Cricetulus griseus: one gene and its partners. The protein of the gene in region 1 interacts with the protein of each later gene in a pairwise test. Links are inferred from orthologs where the notes say so. Each region holds a gene or a part of one and is shown in the gene's direction. Other genes may lie near its edges.

Region 1 (4,255 bases):
CTAGAGAAATACAGTACAGAGCAGATAGTGTGTCTCACCTTGTCCCACAAAGACTGTAGTTCTTCTTGTCCACCTAAGTCCCAGAACATGAGACGAGCCTTCCCCACGTCCACAGTGCCAACTGGGGAGAGGATAGAATGAGCTAGCTCCTGACCTTACTCTTTACAAAGTCCCAGCTCTTCCTGGAATGAGGAAAACCATTCTGGTACCAATCCCAGCAGGCATGCACAGAGAGGGATCTGGCCCCTGGCCAGCTGGGCTACGTACGGGCTTGCATCTCTAAGGGACCCAAGCTCATATCCCCCTTACTGTTTAGGCCCACGGTAGTGGTGATTTTGGATAGACTCATCCCTTTGTAGTTCTTGTTAAACCGTGTTTTTGATTGTTCCAAGAAGGTCTGAGGAAAGAAAGAAAGGTGGTTAGGTAGTGGCAGCTAAAGCAGTTTCCTGGTGTCTTTTCTAAATATCCCTCCACATCCATATGCTTTGGGCAAATTCAGGCTTTCACACCCACATGGTTTGGGCAACTTCAGGCCTTCACACCCATACACACATGCACACGAACCTCTGCCTGTTGAATGCTCTTCGGGAGGCTGGTGGCAACTAACCTGTAGTCTTGGGTAGGGATTAGATTTGCAAAGAACATAAGGCAGGGAAAGGGAATTGGTGAGAGAACAGGCACCTACTGTCTTCCCGGCATTGTCCAGGCCTAGGATCAGGATGCAGTATTCATCCTTCTGGAACATGTACTTGTACAGCCCCGAAAGCAGCGTGTACATCCTGCCCTGGCACCCTGAGAAATGTCAAGGTGTGTACCAGGGCTATCGGCCTCCTGTCCGCTTCATCAGTGGTCCGTCGGTCCTGCTAGTTTTCAAATGTGGAGCCTCGTGGCTCGCGACTCCTTGCCCCCCTCTCCCCAGCCCCCGATTCCGGACCCTGCCTCCACCACCGACCACCCGCTAAACCTGGGCCACTACTCCCACTGCGGGTCATCTTTGTGAATACACCATCAGTCCTGAAAAACCCATGGCGGCCTACCCTGCTCCGCCCTCCTAAGGCTTCTTTTCCGGACCCTCAACTCAGCACTGGGAACTTCGACTGTCGTAGCTACCAGAGAGTCAGCTTCTGAGTGGGCCGCCTTTGGATCCCCCCCCGCTGCCGGGCCCACGGAGCCAAAGAACCAGCTGCCGAAGCCGCTTCCCTGCCCCCTACCCCAGGATTCTGGAACCCCGGCCCCTCAGTCCGGCGGAGACCCACCTGCACCTGCTCAGATCTCGGAGCCGCAGACGCCGTCGTCGCGTCGCAAACCCCACCGACCTCGCGTTGACCCCGCGCGGTGCCTGTCGGGACACCGACCGGCCGACTGAGTACGAGAGGGCGGAGCCGCATCCCGACGGCCCCCGCGCGCCCCATCCCGGAGGCTCCCGAACGCGGGCACTTCCGGCAGCATCAGCTCTCGGGCGGAAGTGCCCGCGGCGGGCGGAAGGCTAGCGCGAGGGCTCTGCTGGCGAGGCCGGAAGCCCTTGTAGGCTGCGAGCACCGGCGGGAGGCGGGGCTGCGGACCGCAGAGGACGCGGTGGGATACTTTGCGGTTCCCTTGGCAGCGCCGAGGTCCTCCTCAGCCTCTCCAGCGGCCGGGGAGGGGGCGGCGTTGTCCTGAGCTCTGCCGACTGCTCTTCCCTCAGGTCTCGTCTGCTTTAGCGGTTCCGAAACTAGCCTGCGCGGTGTAGCGATGGACGAGGACAACCTGGAGACGGCCCTGCAGACCTACCGGGCCCAGCTCGGGCAGGTAGAGCTGGCTCTTGGTGCTGGCCTGGACGCTTCCGAGCTTGCGGACCTGCGCCAGCTGCAGGGCGATCTGAAGGAACTGATAGAGCTCACCGAGGCCAGCCTGTTGTCGGTCAGGAAGAGCAAGCTGCTGGCTACAGTGGACCTGGAGCACCAGGCAGAGGAGGACGCTGAGTACTTGGCTTTCCAGAAGGCTGTGGCGGAGGAAGGGGAGGCACCCGTCGCCCCCGTGGATGACTCGGAGACTGTCCCTGGGAGCGTGGTGCGGCCTGGACCCACCTCCCCTGCACAGGAGGAAGACGAGGAGGATCCAGATCAGGAGGAGCTGAGCGGTGCTAAAGTGAATGCCCCTTACCACAGCGCTTGGGGCACGCTAGAGTATCACAACGCAATGGTTGTGGGCACTGAAGAGGCAGAGGATGGTTCGGCATGCGTTCGCGTACTCTACCTGTACCCTACCCACAAGTCCCTGAAGCCCTGCCCGTTCTTCCTGGAGGGAAAATGCCGCTTCAAGGAGAACTGCAGGTAAAGCCCTCTGCTACTAGCAATAAGGGTCACTCGAGCAGGACCACTGCTGTGGCCTGCCGCCTTCACAACTTGTTCTCCACCCCGCAGAATTGATAAAAGAGAAGGGGGAGCTTCAGGTGGCTGACAGGCTTTAACAGGAACATTCCCTGTTAAGTAAACACATAAGTAAACACATTATATTCATTCTCTCTCTCTCTCTCTCTCTCTCTCTCTCTCTCTCTCTCTCTCTCTCTCTCTCTCTCTCTCTCTCCACCTCCCACCCTCCCTCCCTCTTTTTTTGGATACAGAGTTTCACTGTGTAGCCCTGTCTGTCCTGGAGCTCGCTCTGTAGATCAGTCTGGCCTTGAACTCAGAGATCTACCTGCTCTGCCTCCCAGGTGCTTGGGACTAAAGGCGTGTGTCACCACTTCTAGCTAAGATTTATTTTTGTGTGTATTTGTGTGGGTATGTGAACATGAGTACAGGTGCCAGAAGGTGTTGCATGTTCTACAGCTGGAGTTCCAGGTGCTTATGAGCCACCCAACATAGATCCTGGAAAACAAACTCAGGTCCTCTGCAAGAGCAGTATGCTCTCAACCACCAAGCCATTTCTCTAGCTCTATATACTTACTTTTCTTTTTAATTGTGTGTATGTGTGTGTGTTTGTGAATACATGTGTACTTGAGTACAGGTGCATGAGGAGGCTAAAAGAAGGTGTTGGATCTCCTGAAGCAGGAGCTTCAGGACTACTGGTAGTGAACTACTTGGGTCTTCCTCAAAAACATTACACATACTCTTAACCACTGAGCCATCTCTCCAACCTCCAGAGACCACCTATATTCCTTGGTTTGTGGTTCTCTTACATCACTTTAAGCTCTTACTTCCATGGTTACATCTGTACTCTGCACATTTTATTTCTTTACTTTTTCTTTAACATGGGATCTCATGTAGCTTTAAGCTGGCCTTGAAATCCATATATAGCCAAGGATGACTTTAAATTCTTCATCTTTCTGCTTCTACCTCCCTAGGGCCAGGATTACAAGCATGTGCTACCTAGCTTGGCTCTGCACATCTTTTTTAGATCCTAGTAGACTTGACATGTTCCTTGCTCACTCTCTTTCCTTCTCATGCCTATAGGTGCATAAATGATCAGTGTGCTCAGTGGGTTTTCTCCAAGAATACACATGTTGCTATAACCAGTGGCTGCTTTATCTGCCATAGTCTTTTTGTGGGAAGCCCTGTGATGAGAGATTTAATACCTCTAAGTACTTTCTCTGACTGACATATGCTCACTTCTCTGTGCACGAACCTATGGGTAGGCCCTGAACTCATCCCATTTTATATAATTTTTGTTTTATTTTATTTTGTATGTATATATGCATGTGCCATGGTGCTCATGTGTAGGTCAAAAGACAGCTTTTGAGTGTAGGCTCCTTCAACCATGTGGGCCCTGGGGATTGAATTCAGGTCATCAAGCTTGGCAGAAGGTACCTTTACTTGTCAAACCATTTGTCAGTCCCCACCCCACTTTATAGATGGAGAGACAGACACCAAAGCACTAAGTGATCGGTACAATGTTGCTGGCCGTGAGACCACTTCATCACAAGGAGCTGCTTGTGGTATCAATTTTAGGGCAGAACTAAAAGACAATAAAACATCTAACACCATCTTTACAACCATCCAGGATGAATGAGTTGTTTTCTTGAATTTGCTTTAGATTTTTTTTGTTTTGTTTTGTTTTGTTTTTGTTTTTCGAGACAGGGTTTCTCTATGTAGCTTTGGAGCCTATCCTGGCACTTGCTCTAGAGACCAGGCTGACCTCGAGCTCACAGAGATCCACCTGCCTCTGCCTCCTGAGTGCTGGGATTAAAGGCGTGCACCACCAATGCCCAGCTTGCTTTAGATTCTTAAAAATAAATTTAACTAACTCCACCTGCATTACCATAACTTTGGTGTATGTC
Region 2 (4,237 bases), on another chromosome or scaffold:
GGAATCTTGAGTCTCAGCATGTCCCATAAAGTGAGTGTCCTATACACAAAGAGGCTGAGCCTTGAAAACTGACGAGTACAGATCTTCACAGGAGTCATTCATAGAAATGGGGTTTAAACACAGGCCCAAGGAACGCTGGAGCCCTATTCACTTTCTCGTATTGTAGCTCTCCATTAGAAGCCCTCCTGTGGATTCTCTCCAGTCTGGGTGGCACTGCCCACAGTGCCATTGTCTTAGAGAAATAGGGCTGTTAGAGCTGGTGGCAGAAGACCCTGTCCTTTTTGGCCTCAGTATTGCAGTGACTGATTCCTTGGCCTCTGAGCTCTGATGTGTTCCACCTGCTTGCCAGCCCCCCTTCCTGCCTCCGCCTTCCTCCCTGTACTTAGGCACGCAGAGCAGAGCCTCTAGCTCAGCCCCTCCCCAGCTGGCAGCAGCTGACAAGGCAAATGGGGGTTAATCTGGCCCCTGCTAAGCAGCGACATGTCTCTTGCTGAAGAAGGCGGGGGACTTTCTGGAACTCGCCTGGGTCTTATCTGCAGAGGTTTGCCCCAACGCGTCTTGGGAGCAAGCAGAGGTTCAGTGACATGTGCAGTTGGCTGGTGACAGGACCATCAATCAGACTCCTGTCAGCCTGAGCCTTCTGGGCTTTTGTGAACTAGCCAGGACCCTGGGCTGGGGGGGGAACTGAAGAGGTAGGAGGGACTTCTGGAATTGGGGTGGTGGGAGGGCTGTGAGAGGAGAGAGCATGCCCAGGTATCAGGGATGGGAGAGAGGGACAGGCACCGGCTTTTTTGGTCAACTCGTTTGGAAGTTGACTTGAGACCCTATTAGCCTGCACTGTGGTCACCTGTGTTCTCATTCCCGGGGACTTCCATGTCCCGAAGGCTATGTATAGGGCGTTTGAGTAGGTAGTACAGAGCAGTGGTGGGAGAAACTGAAAGCAGGAAGCTTTCTACCTGGGGTGAGGCTCACATGCCAGCAGTGGGCTGGGGTGGGAGGCAGAGCTGGCCTGGCTGCTCTAACGGGATGGGACATGAGGGAACTTGGGTGCTATGCTGAGGGTTTGCTCTTGTGGCTCTCTTCTCCTTCCTGGAGTGAGAAATGAACCTGTAATCCAAGTGTTAAAACCATGGCCTAGAGCAAAACCCCATTAATTCTGAATCATCTCTCTTGTTGCATTAAGAAAAAAAAAAAAGAAAAGAAAAACTCACCACAAGCGAGCCCTGTGGAGGTGTGCAGGCAGCTGTATTTGTCTGGAAGGCAGAGGAGTTGGCTCCACTCAGGGGGAGGAGGCAAGGCCCCCACCCCCTTGAAACAGTATATAAGGAATCCCAGGCTAGGGGCGACAGCACTGCAGCCTGGTTTCAGCCCAGCTCAGAAGCTCCTGCTAGAGTCCCTCCTGCTTGAAAAGGACACGAAGGCTCAGGCTGCCTGACCATGGCCACCACATTCTTGCAAACTTCTTCCACCTTTGGAGGTGGCTCTACCCGAGGGGGTTCCCTCCGTGCTGGTGGAGGCGGCTTTGGTGGAGGGAGTCTCTACGGGGGAGGTGGGAGCCGAAGCATCTCTGCTTCTTCTGCTAGGTTCGTCTCCTCGGGGGCAGGAGGGGGATATGGGGGCGGTATGAGTTGTGGTTTTGGTGGTGGTGCTGGTAGCGGTTTTGGTGGAGCCTTTGGTGGGGGTTTTGGTGGTGGCTTTGGTGACTTTGGTGGTGGCGATGGAGGTCTCCTCTCTGGCAATGAGAAGATCACCATGCAGAACCTCAATGACCGCCTGGCCTCCTACCTGGACAAAGTACGTGCCCTGGAGCAGGCTAACACGGAGCTGGAGGTGAAAATCCGAGACTGGTACCAGAAGCAGAGCCCAGCCAGTCCGGAGCGAGACTACAGCCATTACTTTAAGACCATGGAAGAGATCCGGGACAAAGTAAGTCCTCATATATATGTCAGACAGAGGGAAACAGGCAGTAGGTGCCCTGTACACATATGCAACAGCAACATTGCTGTTGACTAAGAGAGTCCTTCCCTGCTGTGTAACCTGGCAAGGCTGGGATGCACCTGCTTCCCAGGCACATGTGGGAACACACGTGTTCCACTTGGCAGTGCTGGGGGAGGGGAGGGAGTGGTCTTGGGAATCTGATTTGGATACACAGGATTGCAAATGAGGGCAACAAAAGAGAGCAGCTCCTTCTCCCTGCCTCACAAAAACTTTCAGGGATTTTTGCAACTGATTGCTTTAACTTTGTGACCCGTGTGCTGTTCAGGCACAACCTCAAGAGTCCTAAATGCCAGGGCTGTTTACTTCAGGCCTCAAGGATGTCTTTATTGTTGATCATTGCTAGATCTTAGGAGACCAGGGAACTCAGTGGAGGCTGTGCCACCCCCTCACTTTCCCTTTTAACTAACTGGATCTGTTTTCCTTAGTGGCAAACACGTTCCTTAGCTGCTGTCCAAGTTCCCAATGACTGCAATGTTTTGGAGATGAAGGGCTCTGTCAAGGCACGCAGGAGGCAGCCACTGTGAGCTGTGCCCAAGTAGGCTGGTATAGTGTGTCTCCCGAGAGTCCTGACCTGACAGAGCCAACTGTATCCATTGCAGCACGGTCTTGACTAGCCATGCCCCCAGGCAATCCCAGGCAATACTGCCTCGTTAGTTTTCCATTCCTTGAAGATGCCACAGGGAAGGGAGCATGGGCCAGCACAACTGATGCACACAGGAAGAGAAGCTGGGCAGTAGTTGGCGAAGGGGGTCGTGCAGCAGCCCTAAGGTACAACTCTGTCTCCTGCAGATACTGGCGGCCACCATTGACAACTCGCGTGTCATCTTGGAGATTGACAATGCCAGGCTGGCAGCGGATGACTTCAGGCTCAAGTGTGTTCCCATTTCTCCACCCCTGTCCATTTCACCCCCTCTACCTAGCCTTCCTCCTCTATGACTCAGAACCTGGGCCCCTCACCTTTCCTGACTTTGGCTCCTCTCCCCTCCCCAGGTATGAGAACGAGCTGGCCCTGCGCCAGAGTGTGGAGGCCGACATCAACGGGCTGCGCAGGGTGCTAGACGAGCTGACCCTGGCCAGGACCGACCTGGAGATGCAGATTGAGCACTTGAATGAGGAGCTGGCCTACCTGAAGAAGAATCACGAGGAGGTAACAGCAAGACAGGGTGGTAGGAAGAAGCCCAGGACAGCCAGTCTTTTGTCACAGTCCTCTGAGGGCTTGGGGATTAAGAAATGTACCTGGGGGGCCCCATGGAAGAGAAGGGGCACTAATCTCTGGTAATCTGGACCCAAGGCCAAGCCATGTGTGAACTGCAGAATTGGTTTGCTTCATGGGCTTATTATCTCAAGGTCCTTGTTTCTTAGGACCCAGAGCAAGAGAGATCCTCAGAACTGAGGGGTCCATGTGTTCCAATGGGGAATAGAGATAGGGTGGTGTGATGTGCTAAGGTCACATTGTGAGTTAGAGACAGTCAGAGTTAGCCCTCAGGACTCTCGATTCTTTGTCTGCTTTATAGCCTTGTCTCTAAATGGTTGTCACTCCCACCCCTTGCAGGAGATGAAAGAGTTCAGCAGTCAGCTGGCGGGCCAGGTCAATGTGGAGATGGACGCTGCACCTGGGGTGGACTTGACCCGCATGCTGGCCGAGATGAGGGAACAATATGAGGCCATTGCGGAGAAAAACCGTCGGGATGCAGAGGCCTGGTTCTTCAGTAAGGTGGGCCTGACACCCCCAGCTCTGCTCTCTCCCTCCTTCCCACTCCAGAGGCCTCTGAGGAGGCCCATGAGGCTCATGTTTCTCATGTGTGACTTGCAGACGGAAGAGCTGAACAAGGAGGTAGCTTCCAACACAGAAATGATCCAGTCCAGCAAGACGGAGATCACAGACCTGAGGCGCACCATGCAGGGGCTGGAGATCGAGCTGCAGTCCCAGCTCAGCATGGTACGGTCACTCTCTCCCTACTGGGTGACACATGGCCAGTAAAGCCTCACCTCACACATTCCTGTCACCTCAGGCAGTCCTTACCACCCTTCCTGCTCTTCTCCCTCCAGTGGGTTGCCTTCTAGCCCAATGGGTTTATGCATCTGTCACCCCACCAGAAAGCCGGGCTGGAGAACTCTCTGGCAGAGGTGGAGTGCCGCTATGCCACACAGCTGCAGCAGATCCAGGGGCTTATTAGCAGCCTGGAGAGCCAGCTGAGCGAGCTCCGCTGTGAGATGGAAGCTCAGAACCAGGAATATA
Region 3 (3,964 bases), on another chromosome or scaffold:
GTGAAATTTTGTTTACCCCCTCCCCCCAATTCACTGAGTCTCTCTTTGACAAATGCCCTGGACTTGGGCTGGCCAATAGGGATGGTAATAGCTCAATTTTATGCTATGCATACCCCCTGGGAAGCTACACCTGCAGAGAGCCATGTCAACCTTCCTTCATTGGTAGATGTGACTTCTCTGCGGGAACTAACTTTTCCAGGTTCTCGTCTGCTTATGATATTAGAGCAGGGACTGCTGTTCTACCAGTTCTGTTCCTGAACTCTTGAAAGTACTCCAGAAAGCCCTAGCTCCCCAGAAGCCTCCACCCCTGCTTTATTTCAACGTGTCCCTTCCCAGAGGCAGCATGCAGTGGAGGCGAGTCCTCAATGGCGAAAAAGTAGTGGAAAGAGGGGTAACCACTGCTCCCTTAGGATGAGACAAAGTCTCTGCCACCACAGCAGCTGGTCCAACTGGAAACCTCAGATAAGTCCAGCTCTGGCCAAAACTGGTTTGGCAGCTCTGGGGGAATGTTTCTGGCTGACTGACCCTCACAGCAGGTGCTGGTAGTTTTGCAAAAAGAAAGAGAAAGGGGGAAGGAAGGGGGCGGGGGCTAAAGGAACTAAAGAGGCTGGCTAAATTCAAAACACTAAACTTCGGCTCACTTGCAAGTTTACACTTGGGGATTCATATAAAATTACTACCAGCCCACCAGCCTCAGTCCTTCCCTCCGGTCCTTTGCAAAATAGTTTCGTTGCAATGCAGTTTGTTCTGCAGCGCGCTTGTTGAAACTACTGAATTCGGCCGAAAGCGACTTTTAGCTGTGTTTCCCCACCCCGCAATGCTACTGTTATTATTAAGGCGATTGAATCTCCGCTCTTTCCCCTCCTTACTGCAATCTCACTCCGGCTGTGATTGCTCGGGTCTGACTTCGCGAGTGGCGGTGCGCTTCCAAACCCCCTCATCCGCCCCTCGCCCGGCTCTCCCCACTCCCTCCTTTTCCGCGCCCAGGCGAAAGCAGCCGATTGGCAGAGCGGGGTTTTCAGGAACAATAACAGTGGGGGGAGCCGGGGCCCCGGGGAGCCTCCCCGCCCCCGGCCCGGCTGCGGCTCACGCCCCCCGCGGGGTCCCCACCTCCGCGCCGCCCCGCGGGCTGACCGGCGCCCGGGCCCGCCCCCGGCGCCCACCATGTACGCCTTTGTGCGGTTCCTGGAGGACAACGTCTGCTACGCGCTGCCCGTGTCGTGCGTGCGCGACTTCAGCCCCCGCTCGCGACTGGATTTTGACAACCAGAAGGTGTACGCAGTGTACCGGGGCCCGGAGGAGCTGGGCGCCGAGCCCGAGAGCCCCCCGCGTGTCCCCCGGGACTGGGGCACGCTGTTGCTCCACAAGGCCCAGATCCTGGCTCTGGCAGGTGAGCAAGCGGGCCGGGAGGGGCGTTGGGTCCGGGCGGACTGGGGCTGGCTCTGGGAGAGGCTGAGCGGTCGGGGCCGGGGAGCCACAGCTTGCTCTAGCCTCCTCTTCCTGCCCCTTGGGCTTTCTTTTGGGTACCAGGTGTCTCTAAGAGGCCAGACCAGTTAAAAAGACCCAAGGGTCCCCTTTGTCTTCCTTGCTTCTCTGACACTCCCGCGCCGGGCTGTCAGCCTGCCTTCCCTACCCTCATCTTTCCGACTCTTTTGTATTCTCCCTGCCTCTTCACTTTCCCTTCACTAGCTGCCTCCCCTTACTTACTGTCATTTCTCCATCTCTCACCTTTACCTCTCTCTCTCACACACAGTTGCTTTCCTCTCTGTTGCTTTCTATCTTAAGTTTCTCAAACTGTTCCTTCCTCTCTCCCTTTAAGGCCCTTGGTGTCTTCTTGGAGCAAGAAGCATTTTTAGGTGTGTTAGATGGGAGCTCTTTATCACAGAAAGAATCTCTGACACCTTCTCCCATCATCAGGACCAGGCGACCCAACTTCAGTTGTACTGGCCAAGTGGCAGAGGGTCCTAAAAGAGCTTCACCTCCACACCCCTTTTTGCACCTCCCAGAAAGCTCCCTGAGAGAGAAAAGGGGGCAAACAGCCTCTAGTTCAGGTTAGGGCCTGATCCGCTAACTCTGATTGCACACGGGGTCAGGGAGAGAGACTGACAGACAGGCAGATAGTTTCTAGCTTGGTGGGTAAAGATACAGAGATTTGGTTGGTTGACAGGACAAGCCAAGCTTTTCAGCCTCCTGGAGTGTGCCATACATAGGCACGGGGTTCCTCTCCAAGTAGACAGTTGGCCTTCTTTCCCAGCCACTTGTAGAAGGCTTGGGTGCACACCAAGCAGGGAAAAGGAGCTTGTCACTTCCATGGGGGTGGGGAGTAGGAGTGGGGGCAGAGATGTGGCTGCTACTGGTAAGAGTGCTGCCTTTGAGTAAGCAGAGACAGAGTCACCTTCGACCCAGAAGACAACCCCAGGGTAAACTAGGACCCCAATGAAGACTGTCAGGATTTTGTGGTTTTGACACTTTTCCTACTTTTTCCAGGGTCCTGTGTTCTCTTTCCTTTAGCCTAAAGAGGAACCTAGCAAGAATCATAGTGACTTGCCCAGGATTCCAGGACAAGCTGAGTGGAGCTCAGCCTCATGGCTGAAGTCTTTCTAATTCCTCTGGAAAGTAGGTTTGTGGGAATAAAGGAGCAATAGATTTGAAGTGCATCAACACCGTGAGGTCCCTTTTTTGACAGGTTGGGTCCTTACCACTTCACTGACAGGCCCTGGGGGCACAGAGCTGTAGGTCCACTCACCACCAGACACCAAGGTCCAGGGAAAACATGAGTGAGGCAGATAGGTTTTAGAACAGAAGTCTTCGTAGCTGATTAGGTTTTGTTTGCTTGCTTGCCTTTAATTACTTAGGAAGGGATTAGGAATCTATTCAGCAAGAGGATAAGCCCAAGGAAATTATAACTAGGTGTAACTTTAGCTTCCCTTTTGCCAGAAGAAAAGAGAGCATGCGTCTTGATGATCCTGTCATATAGAGACCTGGAGAAGCCCATGAGAGTGGAAGGGGTGGATATCAGAAGTCCATGGTAAAGGCCTTTCCTGGTCTACAGATTGTTGATCTACATGTCTGTCCACTCAGACATAGACATCCATTCATTCAGCAAGTGTAGATACATGTAGTTCTTCAAGGACTACCAGAGGCTAGTTAGGCAGATGGCAGCCTCCACCAACTCTCCTTTTAAAGTCAACACGAGTTGCAACGAGATACTAAAATATGTACATGTATGCATACATCAGCAAGAACCCTAAGCATTGGATAGAAACTCAGCAGAGTAAACTATGGTCCCAGTTTCAGCAAACCAAGTTAAAACATGCTCCTTCTCATCTCCAGTTTTTTCCTTAGGAGAAGAAAAGAGGTGGGTGAGTTCCTGGCAGGGAGGGGTGGGGACAATGGCAACTTGAGGTTAGCCGGGCTACATTTTGAATTCCAGTAAACTGGTTAATTTTTAAATTGAAACTGTTGTTCTTGGTGCAGACCTGATTGGAAGGGCCAGTGTGAACCTGGGAATTCATGTATCCTGGAAGTCCTCTCCCTTGTGTGTTGAGCTTGGTGGCTCTGAAGCTTGCTTGAAGTGGCTTCACCAGAAGAGAGCTCATCTGACCCATGCAAAGACCTTGCTATTGTCTAAATGCAACCAACCTCCTTGAGGGGCTTAGGGACTCAAACAAAACTGGTTCCTGTAGGCTTTTATCACCTTGTGAGTCATAGGAGCAGAGTTGTGCTGTGGTGCCCAAGTTTGGGGAATTAGTTCCTCAAATAGTTCCTCTAGAGGAAGGCAGAGGTGGCTTTGCAAGTGTAGACAGGTCCTGGTTAATTAATTATTTCTGACCTCAGTAGTGTGGTTTCAGAAGACACTTCCGAACCACTTACGGCATTTGGTGATAAGTGTGTTACGTTGGCATACATTTGTCCAAGCCAACCACTGTAGCTGTCTTGAAGTAAACCTGTTGGGAACCCAGGA
Region 4 (4,291 bases), on another chromosome or scaffold:
GAGGAAAACCTCCCAGAACAACTTTACTGTAGGAAAAGGATGTGGTAATGCATGGTTTTTATCCCAGCACTCTGGAGGCTGAGTCAGTGGATTTCTGTGAGTTCCAGGTCAGCCTAATCTACATGTGTCTGGCCAGCTGGGGCTACACAGTGAGACTCTGTGCAAACAACAAAAATAAAACTTACACTGGGGAGGCTTTCTTGGCCTTCACCAGACCACTATCCCAGGAGCAAGCACTTAGTGTTACAATGATTTAAGCAAGGTTGATTTTATAACCCACAAGAATGAAGATGGGCTGGAGATGTAGCTTAGGGGTAGTGATTGTCTGGCATGTACGAGGCACTAGGTTCATCCTTAGCACTGAAAAAATAAATTAGGATGAAGTTTTCCTTTCTCCAAATTACCCAAGACCTTATTCGTTTATATGGAAAAACAAAAGTAGCTGAGGATCTGTAACTTCTACCTAGCAATTTCTCCTATTTTTAACCATAGTAATTTGTGTACTTTTTTTTTTTTTTTTTTTTTTTTGGATAACTGCTTTCCATCTTAGTTCTGGTGACACTCCGGATGTGTATGAAGGCGTTACTAACTTCAAGAGGTATCTAGCGACTCACTATTGCCAAAGCTAAACGTTGACTTCTCTCCCCTCACTTGTTATAATTCTTCTCGTTTCCTCCTTAGACATTATCTATTAGCTCTAACATCCTAACAGCTGCGCCGACCTTTCTCCGTTTTAGAGTTTTCACGTGAGGCACCCGAAGGTGCTAAAAGCTCAACCCAAGAAACAATTACGTCTGCGTCACCAAGCGGACACTGCCCTGCTGGCCACAAGTGCAATGCCTGCTCCCAGATGTTTACCTTGGGCTCTATGAACGTTTAAAAAATTATGCAAAACTGCTGGCAACTTTTGCCAAGGGAGGCGTTTCCCACGGGCCGGTCCCAGCCTTCGAATGTCAAGTGGTGCTGGTGACCGCCGTTTTAGGAGTTAATTGCCATCCCCCCAAACTCAGACATTCAGGAGCAGCTTAGGCTCAATAGCGTTCTCTCGGCCTTAACCTCGCGACGGACCCTGAATCTCCCTCCGCGCATCACCGAGGGCAAAGCCGAGGAGGGCTGTCCCGCTTTCGAAACCTTCGGTGGGAAAATGATGCCCACTGCCCAGAGCCGGGAGTCCTCCTCAGTTGGGTACAAGACACGCCAGGGAGCCGAGAGGGTCGCCGCAGCCGCCTCCACCAGGCTCCGGAACAGGAGTGTATTCACTGAGAAGACGAGACGCTAACAAAAGGGGCGGGGCTGCCGGCCGCACCCTCTCCGCCTTTACCCGCCTCCTTTGTTCCTTCCTGAGCGTCTATTGGCCAAAGACACTCGGGCCCGCGACCTTCTTTGAGATACTATTGGCTGAAGTCGCTGTCGCTCTACCAGGGACCCATTCGCAATTGGTCAAGGCGCCGCCCGGGTTTGAATCGTCTCCCCGGCCTGGGAGGGCTCTGCCAAAGTGCCACGTTGGGCCGGGCAGCGGGTGTGTGGTGCCGGCTGCGGGCGCCACCCGGGGTGCGCTCTCTAGGGCGCTGGCCGTTGGGCGGCGCGAGGCGGACGCGGGCCGGCGGCGGGAGTTGCGGCGGGGCCGGCGCGTCCCGCCCGAGGGCGGCTCTGGCTGAGGGCGGAGGGGCCGGGGGACAGCCCGGGGCAGCGGCCGAAACGGCACGGTGGCGGCAGAGCCCGCTGCCCCCGGACACCCCCAGCGACATGCTGGCAGATAACCTGGTGGAGGAGTTTGAGATAGAAGATGAACCGTGGTACGACCACCGGGACCTCCAACAAGGTGAGGGCGAGGTCGCCGGGGTTGGGGGGTGGAGGCCCGGCAGGCGACAGGTGTGGAAAGTACTAGAAAGTTCCTTAGGCTGGTGGTCTGGGATGCGCGGCCGGGGGCTCCTCACTCTCACCTGGCAGCGGATCCGCCCATCCCGGCCGCCGGGAGCAAGCGCGCGGCCCTCGGCCCTGCGGATGTGCAACGCTGGCTGATGCTCGGCGCTTTAAGAAAGCGCTTTCTCGGGGGATGAGCGGATCTATCTCCTTCGGGGACCTCTGAGGTGGGCAGGGGTGAACCAGTGTGCCCCGCTCTAGAAGCAAGCTGCTGACTCTGCTTCTGGTCCTGCTGCCCTGCTCGCCCTCATGCGCTTTTCATGGCCCGCAGAGTCTGCAAGCCGCTGCAGGTGGTGGGGGTGCAGTACCGCACAGCAGTGCGGTACCCGCGCCATCACTCTCTGAGAGTGATGTTTTGTTATCCCGTTTCCCAGAAAGCAGAAGCTGAGTTAGGTGGACTCCCTAAAGCCGAATATGGGAGCTAGTATTTTTGATCCCACGCACTCGGGATGAGGAGCCTGTAGACACTGTTCGGACCTTAGCACCCCAGTGTACAACTTACAATTGGGTGTCAAACTGTTTTGTTTTGATATATTACTTTGGCGTCGTTTATCGGGTGCCAAGTGAAATTATGTGAGAAGAGTTCTATTATGCCTTTTTTTTTTCATTCGGATTTTCAATTAGAAATTATCCTGCCTTGGCTTTCTTGATTGTGGCATCTCCTGAGAACAATCTCAGAGTGCCCTCAGTTAGAAGCCAGTGGCCCATTTTCTTGCACAATCGTAGTAGGATTTTTCGCTTGAGGACACTGATAGGCTCTTAACACAATGATGGGCGCCTTTAATTCTCCCAATAACATCATGTGTTGCCATAGGTTACCTCTGGCTCAAGTAGATACTGTTGGGGAAATGAGGTTTTCACTGCAGACTCCAGAGCAAACATTCTTAACCACCATTCAGAGTGATCACCAGGAATTCTTCCAAGCATCCTGTTTGTTCTATTCTAGAGAATTATTTCCACTCTAAACTTGTAGTGAAAATTATCATCTTTGAGTTGGCTATTAAACACGGCTACTTGTTCACAATTCCACTGAGTTTGATAGAAAAGAAAAATGTGGACTTGAATGACCCTTACTTAGAAAAGAGAAAAAGAAAACAGGTACCTCTCTGGACAGGTGGTAATTTGTTATTTATTTCTGTCTGTCTTGATCCCTTAATGTGCAACGACTTAAGCCCAGATGGATACCTGTACTTGTATAATTGAAGCTACCTAGCAGTTACAATGCCGATTTGCTATCACATTTCTCCATGTCCAGAAGACGAATGTGTCACATACTTAGCCTATTTCAGATTTGCCCCATAAGGATTGATGACCTACTTTGATACTTAAGGACTGAAGCAGTCATCATGCGATTGCAACATTCTACTATATGAAAGCAGTTCATATAATCCAAGCAAGAGATTTTGCTTTGCCATATTTAAGAAACATCCAAAATCTTCAAGGGTAGGCTGGTTATACTTGTCTAACATCATATATAACACTTCATAATAGAAATGTGATTTAATAATTGTTGCCCTGAATTGAAGCTCTCTCTCACACAGGATTACTGTTTTCACAGCTTTCCTCTAACCAGTGCCTACTCTAACCTGCTTCCCCAGAAAGTTGTCAGGACAACCAATTTTAATATCCCAATTTACTGAGCAATAAACAAAACACGTTTGGGACTATGTGTGGGATTCTTAACTTCGGATCAAAATGAAGTTGTCACATCTTCATGTTTAGCAAATCCTAATATCTGAACTTATTTACTGTCAATTTCCACTTGGAATTTCTCCTATACTTTCCAAAGCCTTTTACATCTGTTATCACAACAGTAGACTTTGCCATAGCTTAAACAGCATATGGAGTACTAATAGGAGACGTGAAATCCCAGCTGTTAGCTCGTCAGTATGCAGCTGAAAGAATAATGGCTGCTCTTTTGAGCATATTTTCTCCAATTTTGCTAACTTGTATGTTAAATGCTTTTGTGTATTTGGTATTCCAGGATTGTGTGCATGCAACATACCACTGAGCCATTCTAGAACTAAACTTTGAACAGAATTTACAACTGTTTCTCAAGAACATATTGTTTTCTCTATACTAGGTATTTTTGGTTTTTGTTGTTGTTGTTGTTGGGTTATTTTGGTTTTTTTGAGACAAGGTTTCTCTGTAGCTTTGGAACATATCCTGGAACTCATTCTGTAGACCAGGGCTGGTCTTGAACTCAGAGATTCGCTTGTCTCTGCTTCCCGAGCACTGGAATTAAAGGAGTACGCCACCACCACCTGGCTTTATACTAGGTATTCTTATAGGCAGTGGCACCACTATCCTAGCCAGCTATCTGTTAGGAAGGCAGGACTCCACTCGGGGGTTGCTGTTCATGAATCCA
Region 5 (3,315 bases), on another chromosome or scaffold:
GTACTTGGAGGTTTGGATCAGATGGGAAGCACTCTTTAGAGCAGCATTATATTTCTAAGGATGAACTGGGGGTGGGTAGTAAAATAAGGCAAGAACCTGAGTGAAAGCCAATAGTTTCACTGTAAAAGCCGAGTGGCCAGGCACCACAGTGATGCATGCTGGGCATGGTGACATACCTTTAGTCCTAGGAGGCAGAGGCAGACAGATCTCTGTGAGGTCAATCTAGTATACATAGTGAATTCCAGGCCATCCAGGGATACAATGAGACACCCCCCCCCCCCGAAAAAAAAGGTAGAAGATTGGGTCTGGAGGGATGGCTTAGAGGATGAGTGCTTGGTCCTCTGAAAGAGTTCAGTTCCCAGCATCAAAATGGTAGCTCATTACTACCAGTAACTACAGTTCCTGTAGGATCTAATGCCCTTTTCTGTCCTCTACAAGCACCCTCACATGTTCATATGTGTGACAGTTGTATACAGGAACATGTACATATAAACATTAAAAAACATGAAGAGTACTAGTGAGGGCAGCAGAGAGTCAACATGCTTGGGTTGGATGCAGCTTGGGAGAGGCTTTGAATGAGATTTGGGGTGGGGGTACTAATCTATCTCCCCCCCCCTTTATCTCTATCTCTTGTTTTTTCAAGACAGGGTTTCTTTCTCTGTGTAGCCCTAGTTGTCCCGGAACTCGCTCTGTAGACTGGAATAGTCTAGAACTCACAGAGATCTACCTGCCTCTGCCTCCTGAGTGCTTCTTCATCTTTGGGGGGGGGTAGGCAGACAGGGTCTCTATGTAACACTGGCTGGCTTCAAGTTCACTGAGCTCCTCCTGCCTCTGCCTCCCAAGTGTTAGAACTGAAGGTGTGCACCATCACACCTGACATCTTCCTGAGTCCTCTACTCTCTCCACAGGGTGGTGAAGGAAGAGATTTCAGATGACAATGCCCGCCTACCTTGCTTCAATGGAAGGGTTGTCTCCTGGGTAAGGAGAGTCATTACCAAGCTGCTTCCAACCTCAGTCTCTTTCTGCAACTCCCCGCCTTGCCCAGTCATTGGTGGCCCTGGCTTCCCACTTCTACTTGTAGAAGCAGAGGGCATTCCTTAGCCATACTGGCTGTTTTTTCTGGGCTGTTCTCCCGGGTCTCTGAGATCCTGTTCTCTTTCTGCCCCTTTCCCTAAGTCTTTCCACTTAAACCACTACCCAATGGAGCCATGTTTTCTTGCACTCTTTTAGCTAGTGTCATCAGATAACCCCCAGCCTGAGATGGCTCCCCCAGCCCATGAGTCTCGGACAGAACTGGTTCCTCCACCTCCACCATTACCGCCTTTGCCTCCAGAAAGAACCAGTGGTATTGGGGACTCAAGACCTCCATCCTTCCAGTGAGTCCTTTACACTCTTGAATCTAGGGGAGGGGGGTAAAGAGGGAATCCAGTCCAAGCCCTTGGAGAGGGGAGACTGAGGATTTGGTGCTGTTCTGTTGACACTGGTTGGAAACTGTCTCTACCCATGTAGCCCCAATGTGTCCAGCAGCCATGAAAATCTAGAGCCTGAGACAGAAACTGAGTCTGTTGTATCACTGAGACGAGAACGAACTCGAAGGAGAGACAGCAGTGAGCATGGCGGTGAGGGGACAGGCCCTGGAGGCAGGGTAGACTGGGAGCTGGGAGGGGAGGTTCAGCATGAAGGATGGGAGGCCTGGCTCCTGAGGTTCTCCTTTATACATAGCTGGTGGCCACAGGCCCAGTGGCACCTCAAGGCTGGAGCGCCACCTGGCTGGGTACGAGAGTTCTTCCACCCTCATGACCAGTGAGCTGGAGAGTACCAGCCTAGGAGACTCTGATGAGGATGACACCATGAGTAGGTATGCTTCACACATCTCCACCCAGGAATCACTCTCCCCTCCCTCCCTCCCTCCCTCCCTCCTCCCTCCCTCCCTCCCTCCTCCCTCCCTCCCCTCCCTCGGGCTCCCTGACCACATCTACTTCCAAATGCCCTGCTTCTCAATCGCTATCAGATTCAGCAGTTCCACTGAGCAGAGCAGTGCCTCCCGCCTCCTCAAGCGCCACCGAAGGCGGAGAAAGCAGCGGCCACCACGCATGGAAAGGGTGAGGTTTCTTTGGGAGAAGTGGGCCTTTGTTTAGCTGGTCCACAGAGGCTTGGGGCTTGTCTCTGTACTGGTGAAGAGCAGTTCACCTCTTTCCTGTCTTCCTGCCACAGACCTCATCCTTTAGCAGTGTCACCGATTCCACAATGTCTCTCAACATCATCACAGTTACACTCAACATGGGTATGGAAGCTCCTAATGAGAGAAGGGGAGGGGAGGGTCTCCAGGGTTTCTGGGGCTTAGTCCCCTCATGTGAACTCCCCCCACAGAGAAGTACAACTTCCTGGGCATCTCCATTGTGGGCCAAAGTAATGAGCGGGGTGACGGAGGCATCTACATCGGCTCCATCATGAAGGGGGGCGCTGTGGCTGCTGATGGGCGCATAGAGCCTGGAGACATGCTTTTGCAGGTGTGCTGACAGGTTGGACACTGGCTTGGGCAGAGGCTCTCACCCTCCCACATTGCCTCTGACCCACTTCTCCCTTCCAGGTGAATGATATGAACTTTGAGAACATGAGCAATGATGACGCTGTACGGGTACTGAGAGACATTGTGCACAAACCAGGGTGAGCCTCTGCTAGGTTCCCACCCTTAGGCCTCTTGTTTTTAAGTTCTTTCACCTTTGTTGTGCAATTTAAAAAAGAAGTGAGGCCAGGCATGGCGGCACACACCTCTAATCATAGCACTTGGAAGAGGCAGGTGGCACTTTGATTGTGGTCTACATAGTGAGACCCTGTCTCAAAAAAAAAAAAAAAAAAAGCAAAATAACAAATCTAAGTGGCAGTACATGTCACTCCAGCTTAAATCATGAAAAAATTTTGGTGACTACCTCAGAAAGCCCACCCACTGCACACTCCTTCCCACTTCCACCCTCCTCACTGATGGTAATTACTCTCTTGACTTCTTTGGTCAAGAAAACCTTTGATGGGTTTTTCCACCCATGCCTGAATCCTGGAACAAGATGGTTCAGTGTTACCTGTCTCGTGCTTCCTGTGAATGAATGGTACAGTGTGTACTCCCTTGTTTCACTCAGCACTATGTTTTTAACTTGCCCATATTGGTGAGTCATCCACATTGTGGAGCCCTCCACTCTCACGTTCTCATAGCCCAGTTATGTGTGTGTTCCTTTCTCCTGTATCTTATGCATCAGACGTTGGTACTTCTGAAGTCTCTTCCCTTTGTGTGCTTGACTGTGACTGGCCTTCTCTTTTCCA
Region 6 (4,205 bases), on another chromosome or scaffold:
TTCATATACACGGGGGCCCCAGTTCCCCCATCACCTTAGGAAACTCCCAGGAATATGACTGAGTAAGGCAGAAACAAGGGTGTGAGCATATTTCTGGCTTGGGTCTGCCTCTTGGACTCCACAGCTAAGGCAGGAGCTCTGAATTAGGTAGCAAAGAGTTGACAGCTGGTTCTTCCTCACATTCTAATAGAACGAAAGGCCCTTAGGGGTCCAAGAGATTCAGATATGGCTGAGGAGATAGCAGCGGAAGGACAAAGGCAAGCTGTCTGGGGGAGGGTTCAGATCAAGCACCAAGCATGCTATCAGGAAGTGGGAACAGCGAGTACAAGGGAAAGACTGATGGGGTTAGGAAGACTACAGAATGTAAGGCAGGAAAGTAGGAATGACGCTAGACCACTGGATGCTGCCCTCCTGGAGCACGGGATTCCCAGACACTCCCCATCCCTTGGGAACTGTGCTGGCTGAGGTGTGTGAGTCAGTGCTGGCTTCTGACCCAGGGCTGGGCCACACAGTTTACCTATTTATTTATTTATTTATTTATTTATTTTGTGTGATGGTGCGAATGCACACCACAACATATGGAAGTCAGAGAAAAACTCAAGGGAATTGGTTTTCTTCTTCCACTATGTAGGTCCCAGAGAGCAACTCTGGTCATCAGGCTCGCCCATCCACTGAGCCATCTCCTTGGCCCTCAGATAACCCGAGGATTTAAATGACTAGCTAAGACAGAAACAGAGGCACGCCTGCAACAGACGCAAGCCTGATGTTGGGCTCATGCAGGCCCTTCCCAGTAACCTGCTTCACTCCATTCAACTCTACTTAGTCCATGAAAGCCTGGGTCCTGCATAAACGCTCACCTTTTGATGCCTGAGGTATCAGGGCAAACCCTGGAGAGCACTCAATGTGGCCCCTCACCCAGAGCTCCGAAGTACGACCGATCCCTTCACTTAGCGCCCCCCCTCCCCGCCTGGTGATCGGCCCCCGGTGCAACCTCCCTCCAACCTTGCCATGTGCAGTCCACTGCACCCTTGCCATAGTCCCAAGTGCAGGCTACACTAACGCAATGCAGGAAAGATCTGCGTCCACGGAGCAACTCCCCACGCCCGACTCGCAGGCTCTCCACCTGAGCTCCCAGCCCGTCCGCCTGCCGGCGCCTCCTCGCAGATGAAATTAGCCCTTTGGGGCTACAAGATGGGCACCCTGGGGACCCTCAGGCCACCTGGGGGGAGGACACAGAGCGCCACAGGTGCGGGCTTTTGCACTACTCAGGGAGTCCCACAGGTCAGCAAACCCTATTCAATGCCAGTGTGGACCCCGCGGAGGTCGGAACTCTGTGTTGGGGTTCCTGTTTCTGCACGGAGGGATCGGAGCGATGCTCACAGTGCACCCGGACCCAGGCCGCGGACTCCAGTCGCTATGGTAACGTGGCCCGCGCTAGAGGTGCGACCGGAGGGCGGGCGAGCGGGCGAGCTAGTGCTGGCGCTCGGAATCCCGGCGGCCCCAGAGCGGGCTGGCGCGGTGCCTGGTCGCGCGCCGGGAGGCGACGAGGATTTCGCTGGGCCCTGCCGATGGAGCACGGGGTGAGTGGCATGGCCATCGCTTCAGGTTCCGGCTCCCGTGGGGCTTTGACCCAGGCTCCCCAGACGCCTCCCTCAGGAAGTAGTAGCCTCGGGCGACCATCGCGAGGCCGGCAGCGGCACTGGGTGCAGGGTGCCCCGAATCAGCACGTTAGCCGCAGTGTTCCCCCTGCTCTGCAGCCTGGATCAGCGCCGCGCTGCCCCGCTGACTTCATAAGTCCGTTATTTTGTAGACTGCATCTCATCCTCGGCTGGCCCGATATTTAACATAAGATTGAGTTACTAACATTTAGCATTCTGCCCTCGTGCCTCCCAGGAGACAGTGGTGTCTATCAAATGGCTATCATAAAGTTACTGTTTTCTTCTGGGCACGCCTTTAATCCCAGCATTTGGGAGGCAGAGGCAGGCAGATCTCTGAGTTCGAGGCCAGTCTGGTCTGCATAGTTCCAGGACACCCATGGCTAAGTAGAGACCCTGTCTCAAAAAAAGTAACTAAATAAGCAAAGTTAGGTTACTATTTTCCCGTTATAAATAATAAATACCTTTCGGGGGAGGTGCTTGCTTGTGTAAAGTCCTGCTTCTAGCCGTGTTTTCAGTGACTAATTTTAGCATACATCAGTGAAAACTTCCTGATTTTTTTCATTTAATTTCACGTTTTATTCTTTCATTGCTTTGTTTGGTTTTGGTTTTTCGAGACATGGTTTCTCTATGTAGCCTTGGCTGTTATGAAAATCACTCTGTAGATCAGGCTGGCCTCTAACTCGAAGATCTGCTTGCTTCTGGTTTCTGGGTCCTGGGTTTAAAGGCATACACCACCACCACCCAGCCATGTTTTATTCTTGCTATGTTGGGTAGAGAAAAGGAATCACAAGTTAGCCGAATAAACCATTCAGACCTTTCAGGATAAACTGGGATCTAGTTTCCAAAGGTCTTTATTTAGAACCAGGATCAGAGTAGGTTTCAACCACTGCTCTGGCATCTGCGGCCCTGGGAGAGCCACAGAAAACAGGCACAGAATGTATTCTCCAGGGCTCCTGTCTGGGTACAGGGCCAGTCCTCCATGAAGATAGCAGGTGAAGGAGACTCAGCAGCTCCAAGGGATTCAGGATGACACAGGCCTGGGGCTTGTCATGAAGAATGAGATTATTGATGTCCCCACAGATCAGACCTCACAGGTCACTGTCCTTCCACCTATATCCTGGAATTATTTATGAAACTCTTCCATGAGCACCAGGCAGGAATTTACTCCTTAGCTTCAGAAATAGACCAATATAAGCCCATTGTCTTAGTCACTGTTTTATTGTTGTGAAGAGACACCTGACCAAGGCAAGTCTTATAAAGAAAACATATGAGGGAAAAGGGGCCAGCTGATGAAACACAGCCTGAGCAGAGCCAAAAAGAAACACACTTTGGCCTGGCAACTAGAACCAAAGAAACACACCCTGACCCTGAAACCAGTGCCAAAGAAACGTGCTTTGTCCCTATAATCAGAGCCAGTGAAAGAAATACATCCTGGCCCTAAAATTAGAGCCAAAAGGCTAAAAAGGACCAGTGAAAGAAACACACTTGGGCCCTGAAACCAAAACCAGATCTGTCCTGCCCCTGAGCAGAAAACCAACCAATCCCTGAGCACTTAGCATGACCCAAAGCCCCTGGCAGATACTAACTACCTGGTCCATTACAGAGCAGCTGTCAGGCCCTGTTCTAGGTGATTTAGAATTTACAGGAAGACCTGCCACAAAGCTGTGCCCACTGTCCAATGGAAAAATCCATTATTTCCTGTGAAATGCACTCTTGTTTCTTTAGTTCTGATGATTTGGACTGTAATTTAAATTTTCATTTATTTTATGTCTGTGTGTATGCTTGTGGAACCATATATACGAAGGAGCTTGTGGACTCTAGAGGAAGGCATCAGAGCCCCTGGAATTGGAGTTACAAATGCTTGTGAGTGGTCATGTGGGTTCTGGAAAAGGAACCAGGCCCTCTTCAAGAGCAGCCAGTGCCCTTAACCACTGAGCCATCTCTCCAGCCCGACTGTAACTAATTTTTGTTATCAGTAATTTCATGAATGAACTTTTCTCTAAGTAGTATCCTTGCTTATATAAAGAGCACCTAGGAGCTGGAGAGATGGCTCAGAGGTTAAGAGCACTGGCTGCTCTTCCAGTGGTCCTGAGTTCACAATTCCCAGCAACCACATGGTGGCTCACAACTATCTATAAGATCTGGTGCCCTCTAGAACACTGTATACATAATAAATAAATAAAATATTTAAAAAAGAGCAGCTACTGGCTTAGGAACTCTGAAGTTGGTGTAAACACATAACACAATATACCCTAACTCACCTGAACTCACTCACCTATATTACATCACACACAGCACACACACCTTGCTATAACATACTCACATACCTTCACAGCACCACACATGCATACACATAGCCTACAGACAACACGTATAATGCCACGTTCTTCACACACGCACCGTGCCCTCTCCTACATGCATACGTACATCACAACACAAAAGCAAACCCCTGTGGTCCCCCTGCCCCTATTATGAGTTTTATGTCTGTGGTTGGTTGATTATTGTTGATTTGAGTATAGGTGAGGCAACCCCCATCATCTTCACTTT
Region 7 (4,162 bases), on another chromosome or scaffold:
ACCTGCTTTCCATTTGGTGGGGCCCCTCTGCTCTGAGATGTGGTTTGGATTGACAGGATGACCTGGCCTAAATTAACCGTGGCCAGTGTGCCCTGGGGCTCCCCTACATACCTGTCTGGAGTGTAGACTAGGGCTAGCTTCCAGATCAGAGACATGAATAGCCGCTGGAGAATTGTTTCCAACTTCCTCTTGGACGCAGGAATGGACAAAAGGCTGCTATTTGCAAGCATTGCAAGCCAGGCCCCCTAGGGTGCAAAGGAACCTTCCTGGTTGGCTTAATTGGCAGCAGAATGTTTTTGTTTTGAGACAGGGTCTCCTTGTGGCTGCCCTGGAACTCTCTTTGTAAACCAGGATGGCCTTGAATACAGAGAGACCTGCTTGCCTCTGCCTTTCCAGTGCTGCAATAAGCTACTATAATGTCCAGCTCTTTCTGGGATAAATCTTCAATGGGAATGTTAGAACAGCTTGAGCATATTCAGCAATGCTGAACCATAACGGTTTTCTTTTTCAAGACAGGGTCTCACTATGCGGCTCTGGCTGTCCTGGGAGGGCTTCTAACTCAGAGATCTGCCTGCCTCTGCCTCCTGGAGTGCTTTGATTAAAGGTGTGGTAAGGATTTTCAAACTAGCTTCTGGCTACTTTTCCTTCCATTACCTCAAAAGGTAAAGAAACACATCTAAATCACAAAGCAACTCTGGAGTAAACAGGTATAATATTCAGGAAAGACCAAATGTTTTGTTCTAGCTAATCGGTGAGGAAACCGAAGAAACAAGACCCTAATAGGCCCAACTAAGACTTGGGAGAGGAACCCCTCAAAAAAACATTAAATGTATGCTTTGAAGATTTGAGTCTCCCCCCATTTCATCATAATACACTATTTCACAGCAATTAACAACTAATATGAGGAAATATAAAATTAATTTAGTTTAGCTTGGCGGTGGTGGCACAAGCCTTTAATCCCAGCACTCGGGAGGCAGAGGCAGGCAGATCTCTGTGAGTTCGAGACCAGCCTGGTCTACAAGAGCTAGTTCCACGACAGCCCCCAAAGCCACAGAGAAACCCTGTCTTGAAAAACAAAAACACAAAATAAAATCATGTTCTCAATATCTCAGCCTCTCTGGGCTTGCCTTTTCAAATGGTCTGAAGGGGACCTACAAAGGTTTCTAAAGGGTTATCCCTGACTAGAATAAGTGCTTCGATAAAGAGAGGAAATTTGTGGAAATCTCTTCCATTTGACGTTGCTAAACTTAAGAACAATAATGTCATATGTACTTATACAGTAATTGTGGGCACGCCTAAGTCCCTCCCTCTGTCCTTAAACCAATATCCCCACATCTTAGAAATCCTAGCCCTTTTTCTGCCCTCCGGAGGCGCCTTTCCCAACGTAAAGTACAATTTTAAAATTTAAGCTCGCGACTAAAAGAATGATCCGCAGTCAACTGCTGGGGAATCTGGGCGCCCCAGCGCCTGCGGAGGGTGCAGCCGGGTGTGGGCACGGACAGGGGGAGTGGGCGAAGCTGCTGGTTGGTGCCTGAAATCTGTGCGTTGCCCCTTTAATTGTGTCCTCAGCCCTCGGGCGTTTCTGTCCAACGCCCACGTCAGCAAATACCTTTTGTTTCTCCCACGTTGGGGCTACTTGTTTTAGGGCGCACAGCCTCGGCTTCGGAAGGGGGTGCTTCCCCCACCGGGAACCGGGAATTACTCCGCAGCGAGCACGAGCGGCCAGAGCCCCGCGGTAAGTGGCTGCGAGGGCGCGGGCGGGCAGAGGGCGGCCGGGGCGTCGGGGCTGCGGGCCCGGCCGAGAGCCTGGCGGAGGGCGGCGAGGCCGCCGGGTGCGCCCCGGTGTGTAGGCGTTTTCGGGGAGAGCTCCGGGGCCGGCGACGGCCACAAAGGAGGCACGGGCGGCGGCGCGGCGGCCCGGGCGCGGCTGCGGGACAATGGCTGCGTCGTCGCCGCTCGCGCCCGCGCCCCGCCCGCGGCCGGCCCCGGAAAGGCGGGAAGGCGCCGGAGCCTCCTGGCGGCGGCGGTAGGGAGGCGGCGCCACGGAGTCGGGGCGTGTCTGCAGCCGTCGGGCGCCGTGGCGGGGGAAGGGCGCGGGGCGCGGGCGCGCGGGGCGCGGGGCGCGGGGCGCTGCCGCCCGGCGTTCTCACTCCACCCACCGCCCTCTCGCTTTCGATCACGACACGACACGACACGACGGTTCCGAGCTTAGAACCGAGGACAGGAATATGGAGCCCCAGCTGGCTCCCGGGAGAATGTCCCTGGCATCTCCCACCTGGCGACACTATCTGGTTTGGTCCCTTCGCGCTCTGGCGCGCTTAGTCGCCCTTGACCGTGCGGTTAGCAGTATTCCACGTCTTTCCGAGACGTGTTTGGAATGGGATTCACACCTAGCGGGCACCCAACCGCACACACCGCTAACACCTTAGAAGTCTTTATGTTTGCAGGACTTTAGTAAATGGAGTGGTTTCGCTTTCATGAAATAGTTCACTTGATTTCTTATAAGACAACTACCTGTTCAGGCCGTTTATTCTCCCTTGCAAAGGAAAGACTCTAACCACGGAATCTCACCCCTAGACAGGGAGTGTTGACAACTTCTCCAGCCCTCCTATTCCAGCAGCCTCCTGGAGCAGTCAGTCTCCAAGAACCAAAAACCTTCACTGATCTTTATCACTTAAGGCTTACTTCCATTTACCTATTTAATTTTGTTTTAAGCTGGACTCAGGCTAGCTTGAAATTTTGATTCTATCTCTACCTCGGGAGGGTTGGGATGAACTAGTCGAATTTCAGTCTGTCTTAAATCTTTTAATGGCATAATTATATTCTTTAATATCAAAGGGGTTGATATAAGGTTGTTGTTGTTTTTTTTAAATTTTCCCTGATTTTTAAAAAGTATCTTCTTTTGAAGACAAGGTCCTATGTAGCCTAGGCTGGCCCCAAATCTATATAGTTTGTGATGACCTTGGACTCCTGTTTCTCCTACAGCCACCTGTCAAGTGCTGGGGTTGCAGGCATGAATCTGTGCTGGAATTGAACCCAAGACTTCATACATGTTTACATAGGCACTCGACTAATGAACCATATGCCCAACCCTCCCCAAGCCTTAAATGGCAACCACCCCCACATCTTACCAAAAAAACCCAAAGGCTCAGAAGACCTATAGTCTTCAAGGCCTTATAGGAACTGGGCTCACTGTGTTTGTGTGTGTGTGTTTCGGGATTGAACCCAGGGACTTGCACACGCTAGACAAATATTTTACTGTTGGGATACATTCCCAGACCCCTTCCTTATTTATTTATTTATTTATTTATTTATTTATTTATTTATTTATTTCTCAAACAGAGTTTCTCTGTGTAGCCCCGGCTGCCCTGGAACTCCTGACTCTGTAGACCAGGCTGGCCTCGAACTCATAGATCCACCTGCCTCTGCCTCTGGAGTGCTGGAATTAAAGGGGTGCGCCACCACCATCCAGCCACATTTTTTTTTTTTTGGTTTTTTTGTTTGTTTTTGTTTTGTGAGATAGGGTTTCTCTGTAGCTTTGGAGCCTCTTCTGGCACTTGCTCTATAGATCAGACTGGCTTCCTGAAAGACCTCAGAAGAGGTACTTTCGTAGAAGGAGACCCGCACCCAGGAATCAGCGAAACCACGAACTCTGGATGTAAGAGCAAGAGGCTTTATTAGTAGCGCTGGTACCCCGGGGCTTAGCTTTTGGGTAGGCTAAGCCCCGAGCCAAGGGAGAGGGGTCCTTATATAGCTAAAAAGCACAGTGCAGAAGCGAAAAGCATAGTTACAGGGATTCTATTGGACAATTTAATGAGGTACAGAGTTATCAGTATATTCTCAAGGTCTGCACCTGGTACAACAGACCCAATTCCCCCCTCCGCGTCCAGATGGCTGACCTTGGGACGGAGGTTCCCCATGGGGGGGGCGTCCTCTCCCCGCTCGGCCCCAGCCCCGGGGCGCGGCGCCAGGCGGGCGGGCCTGGGTCGAGGGCCCCCCGCCTGGGTGAACCGGCTTGGGAGGGAGCCAGCCGCCAGGCGTGTGGGAGTGTGCGCGCGTACGGGAGTGTCACCGAGAGAGAACCAGCCAGGGGGCGGGGTCTTTCACTCCAACTCACAGAGATCCACCTGCCTCTGCCTCCCGAGTGCCAGCCACATTTTTT

What was found.
Region 2: the proteins of Zgpat (region 1) and Krt15 interact in binary tests that used the Homo sapiens proteins (3 or more experiments, as listed by UniProt). The two-hybrid records come from large-scale screens. The link is inferred for Cricetulus griseus from reciprocal best matches to the Homo sapiens genes ZGPAT and KRT15.
Region 3: the proteins of Zgpat (region 1) and Bend5 interact in binary tests that used the Homo sapiens proteins (3 or more experiments, as listed by UniProt). The two-hybrid records come from large-scale screens. The link is inferred for Cricetulus griseus from reciprocal best matches to the Homo sapiens genes ZGPAT and BEND5.
Region 4: the proteins of Zgpat (region 1) and Cdr2 interact in binary tests that used the Homo sapiens proteins (3 or more experiments, as listed by UniProt). The two-hybrid records come from large-scale screens. The link is inferred for Cricetulus griseus from reciprocal best matches to the Homo sapiens genes ZGPAT and CDR2.
Region 5: the proteins of Zgpat (region 1) and Dvl2 interact in a two-hybrid assay, tested with the Homo sapiens proteins (2 studies listed by BioGRID and IntAct). The two-hybrid records come from large-scale screens. The link is inferred for Cricetulus griseus from reciprocal best matches to the Homo sapiens genes ZGPAT and DVL2.
Region 6: the proteins of Zgpat (region 1) and Ccdc57 interact in binary tests that used the Homo sapiens proteins (3 or more experiments, as listed by UniProt). The two-hybrid records come from large-scale screens. The link is inferred for Cricetulus griseus from reciprocal best matches to the Homo sapiens genes ZGPAT and CCDC57.
Region 7: the proteins of Zgpat (region 1) and Zbtb8a interact in binary tests that used the Homo sapiens proteins (3 or more experiments, as listed by UniProt). The two-hybrid records come from large-scale screens. The link is inferred for Cricetulus griseus from reciprocal best matches to the Homo sapiens genes ZGPAT and ZBTB8A.

The regions. Positions count from the first base shown.
Region 1 is NC_048599.1:540,403-544,657, reverse strand, and holds the start of Zgpat (zinc finger CCCH-type with G patch domain-containing protein), read left to right. Parts: upstream 1-1,455; 5' UTR 1,456-1,731; coding exon 1,732-2,312; intron 2,313-4,255. Other genes in the region: Arfrp1 (ADP-ribosylation factor-related protein 1), read right to left, coding at 39-121, 310-397, 686-778. UniProt on the Homo sapiens protein: Transcription repressor that specifically binds the 5'-GGAG[GA]A[GA]A-3' consensus sequence. Represses transcription by recruiting the chromatin multiprotein complex NuRD to target promoters.
Region 2 is NC_048600.1:112,452,061-112,456,297, forward strand, and holds the start of Krt15 (keratin, type I cytoskeletal 15), read left to right. Parts: upstream 1-1,437; coding exon 1,438-1,926; intron 1,927-2,787; coding exon 2,788-2,870; intron 2,871-2,988; coding exon 2,989-3,145; intron 3,146-3,550; coding exon 3,551-3,712; intron 3,713-3,811; coding exon 3,812-3,937; intron 3,938-4,095; coding exon 4,096-4,237.
Region 3 is NC_048595.1:38,560,093-38,564,056, reverse strand, and holds the start of Bend5 (BEN domain-containing protein 5), read left to right. Parts: upstream 1-1,164; coding exon 1,165-1,390; intron 1,391-3,964. UniProt on the Homo sapiens protein: Acts as a transcriptional repressor.
Region 4 is NC_048596.1:79,675,557-79,679,847, forward strand, and holds the start of Cdr2 (cerebellar degeneration-related protein 2), read left to right. Parts: upstream 1-1,491; 5' UTR 1,492-1,746; coding exon 1,747-1,822; intron 1,823-4,291.
Region 5 is NC_048600.1:83,851,011-83,854,325, forward strand, and holds part of Dvl2 (segment polarity protein dishevelled homolog DVL-2), read left to right. Parts: intron 1-908; coding exon 909-978; intron 979-1,230; coding exon 1,231-1,376; intron 1,377-1,509; coding exon 1,510-1,619; intron 1,620-1,722; coding exon 1,723-1,858; intron 1,859-2,011; coding exon 2,012-2,102; intron 2,103-2,214; coding exon 2,215-2,284; intron 2,285-2,370; coding exon 2,371-2,510; intron 2,511-2,590; coding exon 2,591-2,667; intron 2,668-3,315.
Region 6 is NC_048600.1:133,406,168-133,410,372, reverse strand, and holds the start of Ccdc57 (coiled-coil domain-containing protein 57), read left to right. Parts: upstream 1-1,405; 5' UTR 1,406-1,580; intron 1,581-4,205. UniProt on the Homo sapiens protein: Pleiotropic regulator of centriole duplication, mitosis, and ciliogenesis. Critical interface between centrosome and microtubule-mediated cellular processes. Centriole duplication protein required for recruitment of CEP63, CEP152, and PLK4 to the centrosome.
Region 7 is NC_048595.1:23,663,049-23,667,210, forward strand, and holds the start of Zbtb8a (zinc finger and BTB domain-containing protein 8A), read left to right. Parts: upstream 1-1,362; 5' UTR 1,363-1,735; exon of another isoform or gene 1,736-1,824; intron 1,825-4,162. UniProt on the Homo sapiens protein: May be involved in transcriptional regulation.